Linked DNA regions of Neurospora crassa OR74A. The protein of the gene in region 2 binds, or shares a complex with, the protein of the main gene of each other region. Links are inferred from orthologs where the notes say so. Each region holds a gene or a part of one and is shown on either strand. Other genes may lie near its edges.

What was found. The genes of interacting proteins can lie anywhere in the genome.
Region 1: the proteins of NCU02578 (region 2) and hda-3 are in contact, whole or in part, in a cryo-EM structure (PDB 8HXX), measured with the Saccharomyces cerevisiae proteins. The link is inferred for Neurospora crassa OR74A from reciprocal best matches to the Saccharomyces cerevisiae genes SIN3 and RPD3. Residues at the interface, in NP_014639.1 of Saccharomyces cerevisiae: Cys748, Glu749, Ala750, Phe751, Gly752, Pro753, Ser754, Tyr755, Thr763, Met765, Pro766, Cys767, Ser768, Gly769, Arg770, Asp771, Met773, Cys774, Val777, Leu778, Asn779, Asp780, Trp782, Val783, Gly784, His785, Pro786, Ala789, Phe795, Ile796; in NP_014069.1 of Saccharomyces cerevisiae: Asp26, Ala27, Asp28, Gly30, Asn31, Tyr32, Ala33, Ala36, Gly37, His38, Lys41, His43, Arg46, Arg65, Gln72, Cys75, Gln76, Phe77, His78, Thr79, Asp80, Glu81, Asp92, Asp114, Gly115, Glu118, Lys153, Lys154, Glu156, Val167.
Region 3: NCU02578 (region 2) and NCU02121 share a complex: the UniProt entries of both Saccharomyces cerevisiae proteins name them as parts of the RPD3C(L) complex. The link is inferred for Neurospora crassa OR74A from reciprocal best matches to the Saccharomyces cerevisiae genes SIN3 and CTI6.

Annotation. Positions count from the first base shown.
Region 1 is NC_026501.1:7,046,517-7,050,760, forward strand, and holds the start of hda-3 (histone deacetylase RPD3), read right to left. Parts: upstream 2,801-4,244; 5' UTR 2,357-2,800; coding exon 2,144-2,356; intron 2,081-2,143; coding exon 1,780-2,080; intron 1,712-1,779; coding exon 1,170-1,711; intron 1,119-1,169; coding exon 198-1,118; 3' UTR 1-197. Other genes in the region: rpn-11 (26S proteasome regulatory subunit RPN11), read left to right, coding at 3,455-3,520, 3,625-3,878, 3,940-4,244. UniProt on the Saccharomyces cerevisiae protein: Catalytic component of the RPD3 histone deacetylase (HDAC) complexes RPD3C(L) and RPD3C(S) responsible for the deacetylation of lysine residues on the N-terminal part of the core histones (H2A, H2B, H3 and H4).
Region 2 is NC_026501.1:2,788,225-2,791,924, reverse strand, and holds the end of NCU02578 (paired amphipathic helix protein Sin3a), read left to right. Parts: coding exon 1-215; intron 216-280; coding exon 281-724; intron 725-790; coding exon 791-2,059; intron 2,060-2,112; coding exon 2,113-2,658; 3' UTR 2,659-3,200; downstream 3,201-3,700. Other genes in the region: NCU02577 (hypothetical protein), read left to right, coding at 3,549-3,700. UniProt on the Saccharomyces cerevisiae protein: Catalytic component of the RPD3 histone deacetylase complexes RPD3C(L) and RPD3C(S) responsible for the deacetylation of lysine residues on the N-terminal part of the core histones (H2A, H2B, H3 and H4).
Region 3 is NC_026501.1:1,173,707-1,177,883, reverse strand, and holds the start of NCU02121 (transcriptional regulator), read left to right. Parts: upstream 1-1,377; 5' UTR 1,378-2,815; coding exon 2,816-3,408; exon of another isoform or gene 3,409-3,580; coding exon of another isoform or gene 3,581-3,591; coding exon 3,592-3,891; intron 3,892-3,944; coding exon 3,945-4,177. UniProt on the Saccharomyces cerevisiae protein: Component of the RPD3C(L) histone deacetylase complex (HDAC). Responsible for the deacetylation of lysine residues on the N-terminal part of the core histones (H2A, H2B, H3 and H4).

The DNA.
Region 1 (4,244 bases), about 4.3 Mb from region 2:
ACAAACAACAAAGAGCCTGGATGTAATGTGGGGGAATCATTGAAAACAACATTTTCCTCGTCACAACACCCCTAAATCCCCAAACGCCAATGCCAATCATGCTCATGGGATAACACAACTGAAATTTGCCGACGTACTCAGGGCCCGATTAGTCCGAGCTATCAGACGTACTGAGTGTTTGTTCGGGGGGTTGCGTCCTATTCTTGAGGCTTATCGGCCTCCTTTTCCTTGTCATCTGTTGTTGCTGCCGGTGCCTTGTCGGATGCCTCCTCGGCAACCTTGCTTGGCTCTTCTGCCACTGGCTTCTCAGTGTTGGCGTCTGGTACCGGCGAGGCGGCCTTGGGAGAGGCTGCTGCTGCTGCTGCTGCCTCGGTAGCAGGCTCCGCAGTGGCGGCGGCGGGACTTGGCCTGCGCTCTGCCTCCGGCTCCGGAGCAGGGGCAGTCTCGATTTCCTCGGTCTTGATCTCCGCCTCAGGTTCTGCAGGCTTCTCATCGGCCTCGCCCATATCCACATCGCCATCTTCGTCAACTTTGGCCGCAGAGCTTACTGCAGGCTGCGCGGCTGTCGTTGCGGGGGCTTCGGCTTCAGGTTCAGCGGCGGCCGGTTGGGCTTCGTCGTTATCGATCATGGTCTCATCGTTGTCGACAGCAGTAGGCTCCGCTGGCTTAGCGGCGGCCGCGGCGGCGGTGGCGGCAATCGAGGGCGGAGCTGGTTCTCCAATATCAAGATCCATGTCCTCCACGGCCTTGGGGTTCTTGAAGTCGAGAATGGACCGGCGCTGCGGTCCGTTCGGCTTGAACACACCATTGGCTTGAGCCATGTCCTCGTCATCACTTTCTTCAAACTCGTCTTGCCTAGCTCTCTCCTTCTCCCATTGACGCTGTGTCCGCCGGACATCCTTGTTCTCGTCCTCATCCATGTCGTCAAGCTCGTCTTCCTGATCGTCTGACATACCGAAGCCCTGACGCGGAACGTCCTGCATCTGGACAGAGGGAACTGGGGCGGTCTTCTTCAGGTTTTCTATCACTGATATCTTGATCTTCTCCAGGTACTCTGGGCTGTTGGCGTTCTCCATATTGGAAGAACGCACATCAAGCTCGTAGTCGGGACCGTAATACTAAGAGTTTGTTAGCAAGGCGGCAAGCCATAATGGAACTAATCCACTTACGTCGTAGTACTCGTTGTAAGGAAGGACTGGGTTCATCTCAACACCAACCAAACGGCCGGTTTCGTAGGCCCAAGTCCTTGCGACGTTGCGCATGGTGTAGCCACCTCCGCCGAGAACCAGAGTGGGTAGTCCAAAGCTCCGCACGTAATTAACGCAGTTGGCATGGCCACGCATGCTCAAGTTAAAGCAGCCAAGACGATCACCGGACAAACTGTCACCACCGCATTGGAGGACAACAGCCTCAGGTTGGAAGTATTGCATGACAGCGCTAATGACGGGCTGGAAGATGGAGCTGTAGGTGGTGTCGTCAATCCCATCGCGGAGGGGGAAGTTGACGGCATAGTTCTTGCCGGAACCGATACCAATGTCGCGCAACTCGCCGGTACCGGGGAAGTACTCGCCGTACTTGTGGAAGGATACGGTCATGACGCGATCCGTCGTGTAAAAGGCTTCTTCGACACCATCGCCGTGGTGCACATCGATGTCAATGTAAAGAACGCGCTTCTTGAAACGCAGGAGCTCTAGGATAGCCAGGACGATATCTGTTCGGTGTAGTAGGTAAGCATGGGTGGCGTCGTACGGGTTCCAGGAAATTGTGAAGGCCACATACCATTGACATAGCAGAAACCGCTAGCCTCGCTCTTCTTGGCGTGATGCAAACCACCGGCCCAGTTGATGGCGATGTCGCACTTGTCCCTATTCAAGCGAGCGGCACCCTCCATACTTCCGCCGGCACTGATGCCGCAGAACTCAAACAGGCCGTCGAAAACGGGACAGTCATCGCCAACATTGTACTTGCCCTGCTCGCGCATGAAGCCGTCCATGTTGTCGGGGGTAACCTTTTGTAAAAACTCAATGTACTCGTCGGTGTGAAACTGTGTCATTTCGGCAGTAACGGCTGGTTTTGCACGCTAACACAGAGAGGGTCAGTTTGTCGTTGACCAAGGCCAGTACCCCCAACACAGCAAACTTACGTAGACCTCGAGAAACTTGTACACGTTGTAGTTCATGACCAGACTGTGGGCAAGACGGATACGATGGGGCTTCATAGGATGGCCGGTCACGTAGGCATAGTTGCCAATGTCGGAGTCGTAGAAGTAGGCGACCCGCTTCTTGTCATTGTGGACGACGGTATACAACGGCTCGTCACGCGCGACTCCGGCGGGATCGGTGAATGTGGAAGGCATGGTGGGCAGATGTTGCCGGGTTGCCCGTTGTGTTGTGTTGCGTTGCGTTGGCGGATACGGAGGACTATTGCGGTACAATCCGGATTGTGGGTTGGATGGTGTGTGTGTGTGTGTTGTGGTGGTGGATATCACGTCCAAGTATGTAGAAGTTATCGCTGACCGGGAGACGCTGGGATGGGAAGGACCCCGTCGTGAAAGGAAATGTTCAGGGTCGCCGGGCTGAATGGGGGAAACACGTGTTGAGGTTTCGTGGTATTGATAGAATGACAAAGTATGATATAGAAATATCCCCGTGATGTGGCAAATCACCTGGGCGGTATCGTCATGGCTTGCCAGCAACGAAAAGAAAGATGGTGTTTAGTTCGAGCTCGGTTCCTGACGCCGGGGTGTCTGTCACTGAGTGGCAGAATTGCTTGTACGAGCCACGGCACAACGCTGAGGTCGGTGCGTGAAGCCGTGGGCGGACAGGCGGGGGAGAAAGCGCAAGCACCAGCAACCCCAACGGGCGAGTGGGGTATAATTGAGCTGTTCTCCATTCTCCAATAACTTTAGTAACCAATCAGAAAACGGATTGTGCACCTGACGTCCTGTCGGCAGGCAACGTCGAACCTTCCAAAAAAGCGCCAATACTTATGAAGTCAACCGCTTTGCCTGCCGATTTGCAAACCAGATAAGATTATGTAATCCACAGCTTCCAGCTCAAGGGAACCTTCCGTCACCGGGCTGGCCTGCAGTGGACTTTGTGGCAGTTGGCGTTGCAGGCTGCCACAGCTTGTCGTCAACGCCGCCGCCAGCCAGCTGCGGCAAGCTCCCCATAGGTGCTGCATGCTCCATGCTCCAACCTGACGCGGTAGGTAGGTAGAGAGGTACTCAACCCACCAACCTAAACAACAAACCGCCCCGTCTCCCGTCTTGTCATCGACGACATCCCACTTCGACTTTACAACGAAACCGCCACCGTTTGCATCGCAACCCTCCATATACTTCTGCGCGACGTCATTACACCCGAGGAACGACGCCGATATTAATTTCCAACACCCCCGTCACACAGCTACGTCAACATAATACACTACTCTCCAACCAACAAACACATTCAAGATGGATCGCATGCGCAGCTTGTTGGGCGGCGGCCTGGGAATGGGCGGTGCCACTGCGCCAGGAGCCGTATGTTTGTTCCCATTCGCAAATTGAACAACAGAACCGCAGGCTTGCTTGGTCTGGCGTGAAGGTGACAAGGGCATGATGCTAATGTGCTGGGTTCTGGTCAGGACAACACCAACCTCATCGACAACTCGGAAACCGTCTACATTTCCTCCCTAGCCCTCCTCAAGATGTTGCGCCACGGTCGCGCTGGTGTGCCCATGGAAGTCATGGGCCTGATGCTGGGCGAGTTTGTCGATGACTTTACCGTTCGCGTCGTCGATGTGTTTGCCATGCCCCAAAGCGGTACTGGTGTCAGTGTAGAGGCTGTCGACCCCGTCTTCCAGATGAACATGATGGACATGCTCAGGCAAACGGGAAGGTGAGAGGATACTCAGCTCAACTTGACCTTTCACCACCCACTAATGTATTTCCCTTCGCAGGCCCGAGGCCGTCGTTGGCTGGTACCACTCGCATCCCGGTTTTGGCTGCTGGCTTTCGTCGGTTGATATCAACACCCAACAAAGTTTCGAACAACTCAACTCCCGTGCGGTCGCCGTGGTTATTGACCCCATTCAGTCCGTCAAGGGCAAGGTTGTGATTGATGCTTTCCGTCTCATCAACCCCCAGTCGCTCATGCTGGGTCAGGAGCCCCGCCAGACGACATCCAACTTGGGACATCTCAACAAGCCTTCCATCCAGGCCCTCATCCACGGCCTGAACAGGCACTACTACTCGATCGGCATCA
Region 2 (3,700 bases):
TGTGGAATCTTGACCTGATCGAGAAGGACGTGTTGATCTACAAGGCAAATCACTTCATGGGTGGCAACCCCGAATTGCTGAATACCCTCAGGAACATGCTAAGGCACACCGGCACGGAAGAGGTAGTTGAGAACCGCCCTGAACCACCGCCAGGCAAGGTTTCTTTGAGCAACTGCCGCGGTTTCGGTCCTAGCTATCGCCTTCTCCCTAGACGGGTAAGTGCCTTTTCGTAACATAGCACTATTTCTTTTCTGGCGCGCTAACTATCATGGGATTACAGGAACGTCTCCGTCCTTGTAGCGGTCGCGACGAGCTGTGCAATTCGGTACTCAACGATGGTTGGGCCTCACATCCGACGTGGGCTTCGGAAGATTCGGGCTTCGTTGCGCATCGCAAGAACGGTTACGAAGAGGGACTCCATCGTATCGAAGAGGAGCGACATGACTACGACTTCTACATCGAAGCCAACCAAAAGTGCATCCAGCTCCTGGAGCCGATCGCCCAACAAATGCTTACGCTTACCCCCGCGGAGCGAGCACACTTCAAGATGCCTGCAGGTCTTGGTGGGCAGAGTACTTCGATCTACAAGCGAGTCTTGAAGAAGATCTACGGGCCAGAGAAGGGCTGTGAAGTCGCCAACGAAATGTTTAAGAACCCTTTCGCTGTTGTGCCCATCGTGATGGCTCGTCTCAAACAAAAAGATGAAGAGTGGAGGTTCACCCAGGTACGCATCACCATTCCCCTGACCTATGATTCGCTGTTACTATGTGTTTGCTAACCCAATAAATAGCGCGAATGGGAGAAAGTCTGGCAGAGCCAAACCGAAACGATGCATCTCAAGAGCCTGGACCACATGGGTATTCAGGTGAAGACGAATGACAAACGCAATCTTTCCGCAAAGCATCTGGTCGACGTTATCAAGACCAAGCATGAAGAACAACGCCGACTGCGAACGACTAAAACAAAGACACCTCGTTACCAATTCCTGTATGGGTTCCAAGATCAGGATCTTCTCCTTGACCTCCTCCGTTTCATGGTCATTTATGCGAATGTGGGTGGCCAGCACAACGCTCTGGAGAGGAGACGTATATTGGAGTTCTTTGAAACGTTCATCCCGGCATTCTTTGACCTTCCAGAAGAGAAGGTGCAAGAAAGACTTGCTGATATTGACCAAGATTCTGGAGAAGAGGATGAAGAAGACTCGGCGCCCGCTGAGCTCACCAATGGCAGGACGCGACGCGGTAAAAAATCCGACCTACTTCGCGGCGTCCTTGATCCGGGCCGTAATGGTAGTCGTAGCCGGGGCCAAAAGGAAGATAGCACAGCAACAGGAAGCAAGGAGACGACACCGGATGTCGGGTCTGCTAATGAGGAGGAGATGCCCGATGCGCCAGATGATCGGGCTGTCCCGGAGGTCTCGAATGACCGCTGGTTGCCCACGATTGGTCCCATCGTCTTAGAGAACACCAAGGATGGTAAGCCTGATGGACTTGTCGATGTCGATGGTGAACTGAAGGCGGATGCACCCTTTGTTCGTGCCTGGTACAACTTCTACTGCAACCAGAACATGTATGTGTTCTTCACTGTTTTCCAGACGCTGTACAAGCGCCTCGAGGAGGTCAAGGCCAGCAAAGACAGCGTCCTTGAGGAGATCCGCCGGGAGACTGCTGTTAAGCCCGCAAAGATCCTTGGCATGGTCAACCCAGGCCTGCACTACTTCGACGACAAGAACCCGGAGACATTCTGGCCTCGTACCGTCGAGCTGATTGAGGATTTCATCAACGGCGAGATTGACGAGAGCCGGTATCAAGACGTGCTCCGGCACTACTATCTTCGCAAGGGATGGACAATTTACACGATCCAAGATCTGCTCAAGACACTTTGTCGCATTGGTCTTGCCTGCAACAACCCAGACGCCAAGGGCGAGAAGACCAAGGAGCTCGTTAGGGCATACCTGGAGAGTCGTCAGCAGGAGACCACCAGCTTCCAGAACGAGATCAGCGCTCGTAAATTTGCGGAGAAGTGCATCAAAGATGCCGATATGTTCGTCATCAGCTGGGTAAGTATCTATTTTGAGAAAGTTGAATGTAACAAATACTAATCTGTCATCAGTATCCGGGCAAGAAGGAAGCTTCCGTGCGCTGGCTGAAAAAGGAAGACACCACCTTCTACATGGACGAGATGGAGCGCATCCAGCAATGGCAGTACTATATCTCTTCTTACATGCGTCAAGAGCCCACGGAAGGAGTAGATAAAAAGCAACTCCAGAGGGTATTCCTCTCCCGCAACCACGCCGCGGCGACAGAGGGTATCTCCGAAGATGATTATAAACCCAAGCCACTTGCATATGACGAGGGCCTGGTGATTAGGATTTGCCTCAATTCGTCCAAGATGGTGTTTGAAAAATTCACTTCGGAATGGTTCATCTACAACACCACCACCTTCGACTCGGAAGAGGACAAGGTTTTCCACGAGGAGAAGCAGGCGTTCCAGAGAGAGCTGCGCGATGAACGCCTCAAGGAGAAGTTTGTGACAAATAACTCCTGGATGAAGGGCCTGAGCCATGAGGAAGTCCAAGCAGCCAAGGACGAGTTTCAGAGGTGGAAAGAGGGAGGCATCGGTATGGTCGAGTCGCAGCAGCAGCCGCCCTTACAATAGCCACAAGCCCCACCGTAGTATTGTGGTCATGGGTGTCCTTGAGAACGAAGGAATAGGGTGAGTGACGGATGCTCATGTGACGGGCCTCAGCGTTTCATCTCCTTTCGGCAGCAGGAGTATGCTCTGGGATGCAGCGTTGGATGTTGGTTGAGATAATTTGGTGATGAAATTTATCAGGGAGTTGAGGGAAGCGGTACGATTTGCTTTAGTCGTGGCTTTTGTTTTATTTCCGTTCAGCCTAGGCGAAGGACCGTGTGGGTATCAACAGAACAGAACAAACCTAGGTTGGTTATGAAGTTTGAATCCAACTCGTTATTACAGAATGAGACATGGACAAGGAAGCATACTGAGAAGGGGGGAAAGAGCAAAGGAAGGGGTGGGTCTAGAGAGGACTAAGTGTAGTAAAAGGGACTCTCCGCGTAGGTACAGGCTTCTTATTACTAGAGGCTGTCCCTTGACGAGGGGTCAAACCCGCTATCAGCGAGAATATTCGATCATATTCTGTCAATCAAATATAGTTGTGTCTTTCACGTTAACGCTAGTTATCTCGGTATTTGTGCTGCAAAATACTGACTGTAAGGTCCCAACAGTCTAGTTTTGCGTAGTGTAGTACCCCTTTCGAGTGTGTGCGGGTAAGTATGAAAGCTCGGACCACATTGGTATTTCGGTGGTCATACTTGGCCGGCACATTACTTGTAACCACCACCACTCACTTCTTCCTTAGCTCACGCAAGCTCCAAACCAAACGTTTTTCCTCTTCTTCTTGCTTTCCAGTTTGGCGGCTTTAGGTTGGGATCACAGTACCAATTAGCCGCATGGAAGAGTCGTAGACTACTCGCCTCATCGTTTTCTTCTTCTTCTTCTTTGCCGGTCAACCTCCATCCCCCGTCATGCTTGTCCGGCGGCCGCCGCCCTTCGGCGCCACTCTCGGCATCGTGCCACGGTGCTTTTCACGTTCAGTGCCAGTCACGATGACGACAATACCACTTGTCAAGACAACACCCACCCAAAATGTTGTTGCAATTTATCATGGGGCGGGCCC
Region 3 (4,177 bases), about 1.6 Mb from region 2:
CGGGGGAGAGCTATAGGAAGGCCAAAACAAAAGAAGCCAACTCAAACCAGCACTTTGCCCGAGTCAGTGAGACGGGTGTCGTGTATCGGTGCAGTGGTGTTGAGGGGTGGAAAGCAATGGAGTTCAGTGGTTGTGATTAGGAGAAGCGGGTGTTCACTGTAGTGAGGGCGGGCGGGATGGTAGGCGGGACCTAATCGACGCACCCTTGGCTGCATTATGTAAGCATCCCGTCCTTAACCACCTCACTGCAGTTGGTCGTCTGGACAGCGCGGGTTTCGGGCTGTGATTCTGAGGAGAGGGCAGCCAGAGGTCGGTGACCCAATGCCGCTGCCTGCCATGCTGCCAGAACCTAGAAGTACACCCGCTGTTCCGCCCCCGCCTTCCACTTGTAGTTCCCGGCCGGGGGAGCCTCCATTCGGTTTCCGGTTCCCATCCGAGTGAATAGCCTCACGCATGGCATTGGGTCTCTCCCCAACATGGAGAGATCAACGGAAACTGAGAGATCACCCAATAATGATACCCTAGAGGCCGACAGCAATCACGAACCGTCGAGCATACTGGTGTTCCCACGGGTACACTACTGGAGACTCCAAGGAACAGCCCCAAGTGAGATGCTGAATTTCCATACCGTGACCTCTCTAGCTACTGTACTGAGCTACCTGTACGTTTTTCGATTTCCCAAATCCAATTGGAAGATCATGGGGAAGTACCGAGTCGACTGATGTTGACCCATTAACTACCTCTAGGTACCAGCTAGTGTACCTTGGCTTGACTTCCCCAGCAACCGAGCTTCTTTCTGGGTGGGCAAGTCTCTCTGTCTCTACTTACCATAATCATCGCCGTGCACACTCACATTGAAAGCGACCTGAATGGAGGCCGGGTTGTGGGCGGCGGTTCCTGAATGCCGGACGCACTGTGCTTACACTAGTACTAGTACAGTATTCGAGCAAGAGCCAAGCGTTTTCCATCACAGGCAGAACACTGCGGTGCCGGTGCCATTCATAGGTAGTTGCATCTGATTTGATGCCGCCCTGACAACACCATGTACTGCCATTTTCCCTTTGAGAAGCAAACGAGACCCATTCGACGACGGTAGGTGCAATTTCACTTGGAAAGCTTTGCTCAACTCGACAACAACCTGAACCAGACCCGACCTGCAGCGAGCAATGAACCGAACCCCCGCCTCCCCTTCAGGTTCCCATTACCCCAAATAATTTCCCCTTGTGTGCAACAACGAGTTTCGTTGTCTTCCACCATCGATGTTTGTTTGAACCACATTTCACTTCAAACCCTTTTCGGTTTTCAAGATGCCCCTTATTCTCTTGTCGGTCCAGGTTGGACACGGGCTTCACCTATTGAGGCGTGATGTCATAGCACGAACCCTCCCCGACGGACGGTACCAGTAATTCACCACTCTACGGCCTCTACATACCTATGCATACGACTTTCTTACATCAAACTATATCTACTCGTCTCTGGAAACTGAACAGCATCGACAAGCCGGCTTTCGACGCCGCATCCCAGAGATCATTGATATCCTGGTCGAGCTGGCCCATTATCTTTTTCCCGGCACCGGATTGGTCAACATGGGGACCGAGCTTCCAGATGGCCCCGCACGCTTTGGCGCTGCCACTGCCGCTACCGTGAGGAGGAGTGAGGAGGTGCCTGAGTGACGGACGGGATCAGACCGGGGTTGGTGGGTGGGTGGGCGGCAGCCAGAGTGGGTGCCCGGGCGGACAGCTTTCTGCCAAAATTTACTGCAAGCAACTGCAAGAGCGCCGTGTCGGGTTGGTGGTGGTGGTGGTGGTGGTGGTGGTGGTGCATCGTGGTGCCGTGGTGCGGTGCGGTGGTCCCGTCTTTTTTGGGGCTGGCAACTCGACTAGGTCCCGGGCTCGGTTTCCACCATTGTACACACACCAAGAGAGACCAGCCATCGCTTCCTCCTTCCAGGCAGTGCCGTCCTCGCTCTCCTCTTTTCTGGAAATCCTCACCACGTACACCCTGGGCCACAGACACGAAAACCCGACTTGTCGAACTTTGTTATTTCCGTCATGAGAAATAGTTTACCACCCACCTACCACGTCGACCACCGCTCCCCGATCTCCAATTTGGCGTAGCCAGCACTTCGGATCCCGTCATAGACATCTCGTCTCGCCGTCCTCCGTCCCCTCTTCTTCGTTTTTTTTCCCACCCTCGTACCCGCTCAATCTTTTACCCAAGTTAGCAGCGAACGAGTCTTGCTTTCGTGGACATTTACACAAGCAAGCCGGCGACATCCTCATCTCGAGCACGCCCCCGATCGAGCACCCTCCTCACTTGGCTGGATTTTCGACCTGAGCCCTCGCGATCCTCCGCCGTCGGTCGATCCATCCTCGATAATTTACGCTTCTCTACCACCAAGCACCGGCTTCAAGCTACGATTCGAACCTAGCACGAGTCTCATAACCTCGACACCTTCGATTGCATCTTTACTCGACGATTGTGTCAGATTCAATTTGCGGTCGAGACTCGGCCTCGTCGAGTCCTCGCTTCTCCGTGACCACATCGACAGACGACCGCGTGATTCGGGTCTGCTCCCGCCATCACGCCCCATTACTTCTCCGACCATCCACATCGCAATTGTCGAGCTTCAAGTAAAACGAAATTGTTTTAGTGCTAGGGTGCGTCATTGTCCCCAGGCACTCCGGATACCCGACCGCAGAACCCCCTCCCAACGGGCCTGCGGATCGCGTTCTTCTCTTCGACACCAATCGTGTCGATTATATACCCTACATACTTCGAGCTCCTGCCTTGACTGCGGCCCCAGCTGCAAGCAATGGCAGGGTCCGATCCGAGGCGGTCGTCAAGAGCGCGAACCTCCCAATCACAATCGCAAATCTCGTCCAGCACGTCCAGCACGTCAGGTCGTGGTGAGCGCAGCACCAGGTATTTCAACAAAGCTGTCTCACCACAAAAGTCAAGCTCCTCGGGATCGCTATCCTCTGAGGCTCCAGACGAGACAATTACAGCGGACGACTCGTTTGGTACCCGGCGTCGTACCCGCGGTCAGCAGGAAGAAAGAGAGAGGGCAAATAACAAGTCTGAGCAGGTCGAAATGGCACACGGCGACGATGACGCTCAAGACGAGGACGAGGCCGTTCGTTGCATTTGCGGCTACGAGGACTACCCAGGCCCTCCGCCGTTTGACGAAGACTCCAAGCATGGCTTGAAGGACGGCATGGATATCGATCCCATATTCGCGACCGATGTCACCGACGATGCGGCCGGATTTTTCGTACAATGCGACATTTGCAAGGTCTGGCAACATGGCGCCTGCGTTGGCATTATGACCGAAGAGTCAAGCCCAGACGAATATTTCTGCGAAGAGTGCCGCAAAGAATTCCACAAAATTTTCACAGCGAGCAACGGGTAAATCTTGCATTTCTTTGGTCCCGTGGCTGCATGGTCGGGAGCTGAACGTCAAAAGTTCAGCTGGAGTGCGTCAAAGCCCATCACACGCCTTTGACGTTGCCTCACCTTTCATGCAATATCCTCCTCCATCCACGACAATTGTCAAATCACTCTCCAGTCGACTGACGACATGATTCACAGACAACGCTATTCGCACTACCTACCCCTTAAGCGCCCCTCTCGAACCACTTCTAGATCCGCCTCTCTCAACAAGGATGGCACGAGATCACCGCCCAAAGATAAACCGGAGGGCCGCAACGGACGTGGTACGACCACTTCCTCCGCGTCGAAGCGAAGATCTACAATGAACAGCCGAGGCGCTGACTACGACGAAGCTGAAGCCCTGAGACGGGCGATTGAAGCAAGCAAAGAAGATGCAGCTTCTGAACAACCCGAAACTACCACGAGAAGAACAAAGCGAGGCAGAAGCGATAGCGAAGAGTAGGTCCACGTCCTACGCTGCCCGACATCAATAACCGCTAACCCTCTTCAAGAAAGTCAGAAAACAAGAGGCAGAGGACGAGCTCTCGATCGGCCTCTCCTAGCCTTGACAAGACCACTGAGGACTCTGACGACGCCGGCACAACAACGCGGAATGGTGCAAAGTCTAGATCGCGGGGCGGCGTAGCAGGCCGCACTCTGCGCACCGAGAAGACAACTGAAAAAGAAGAACGCGAACGACAAAGGGCTGAGGCAGCAAACAAGCGAAAGGGTAGAGCTGAGCGCC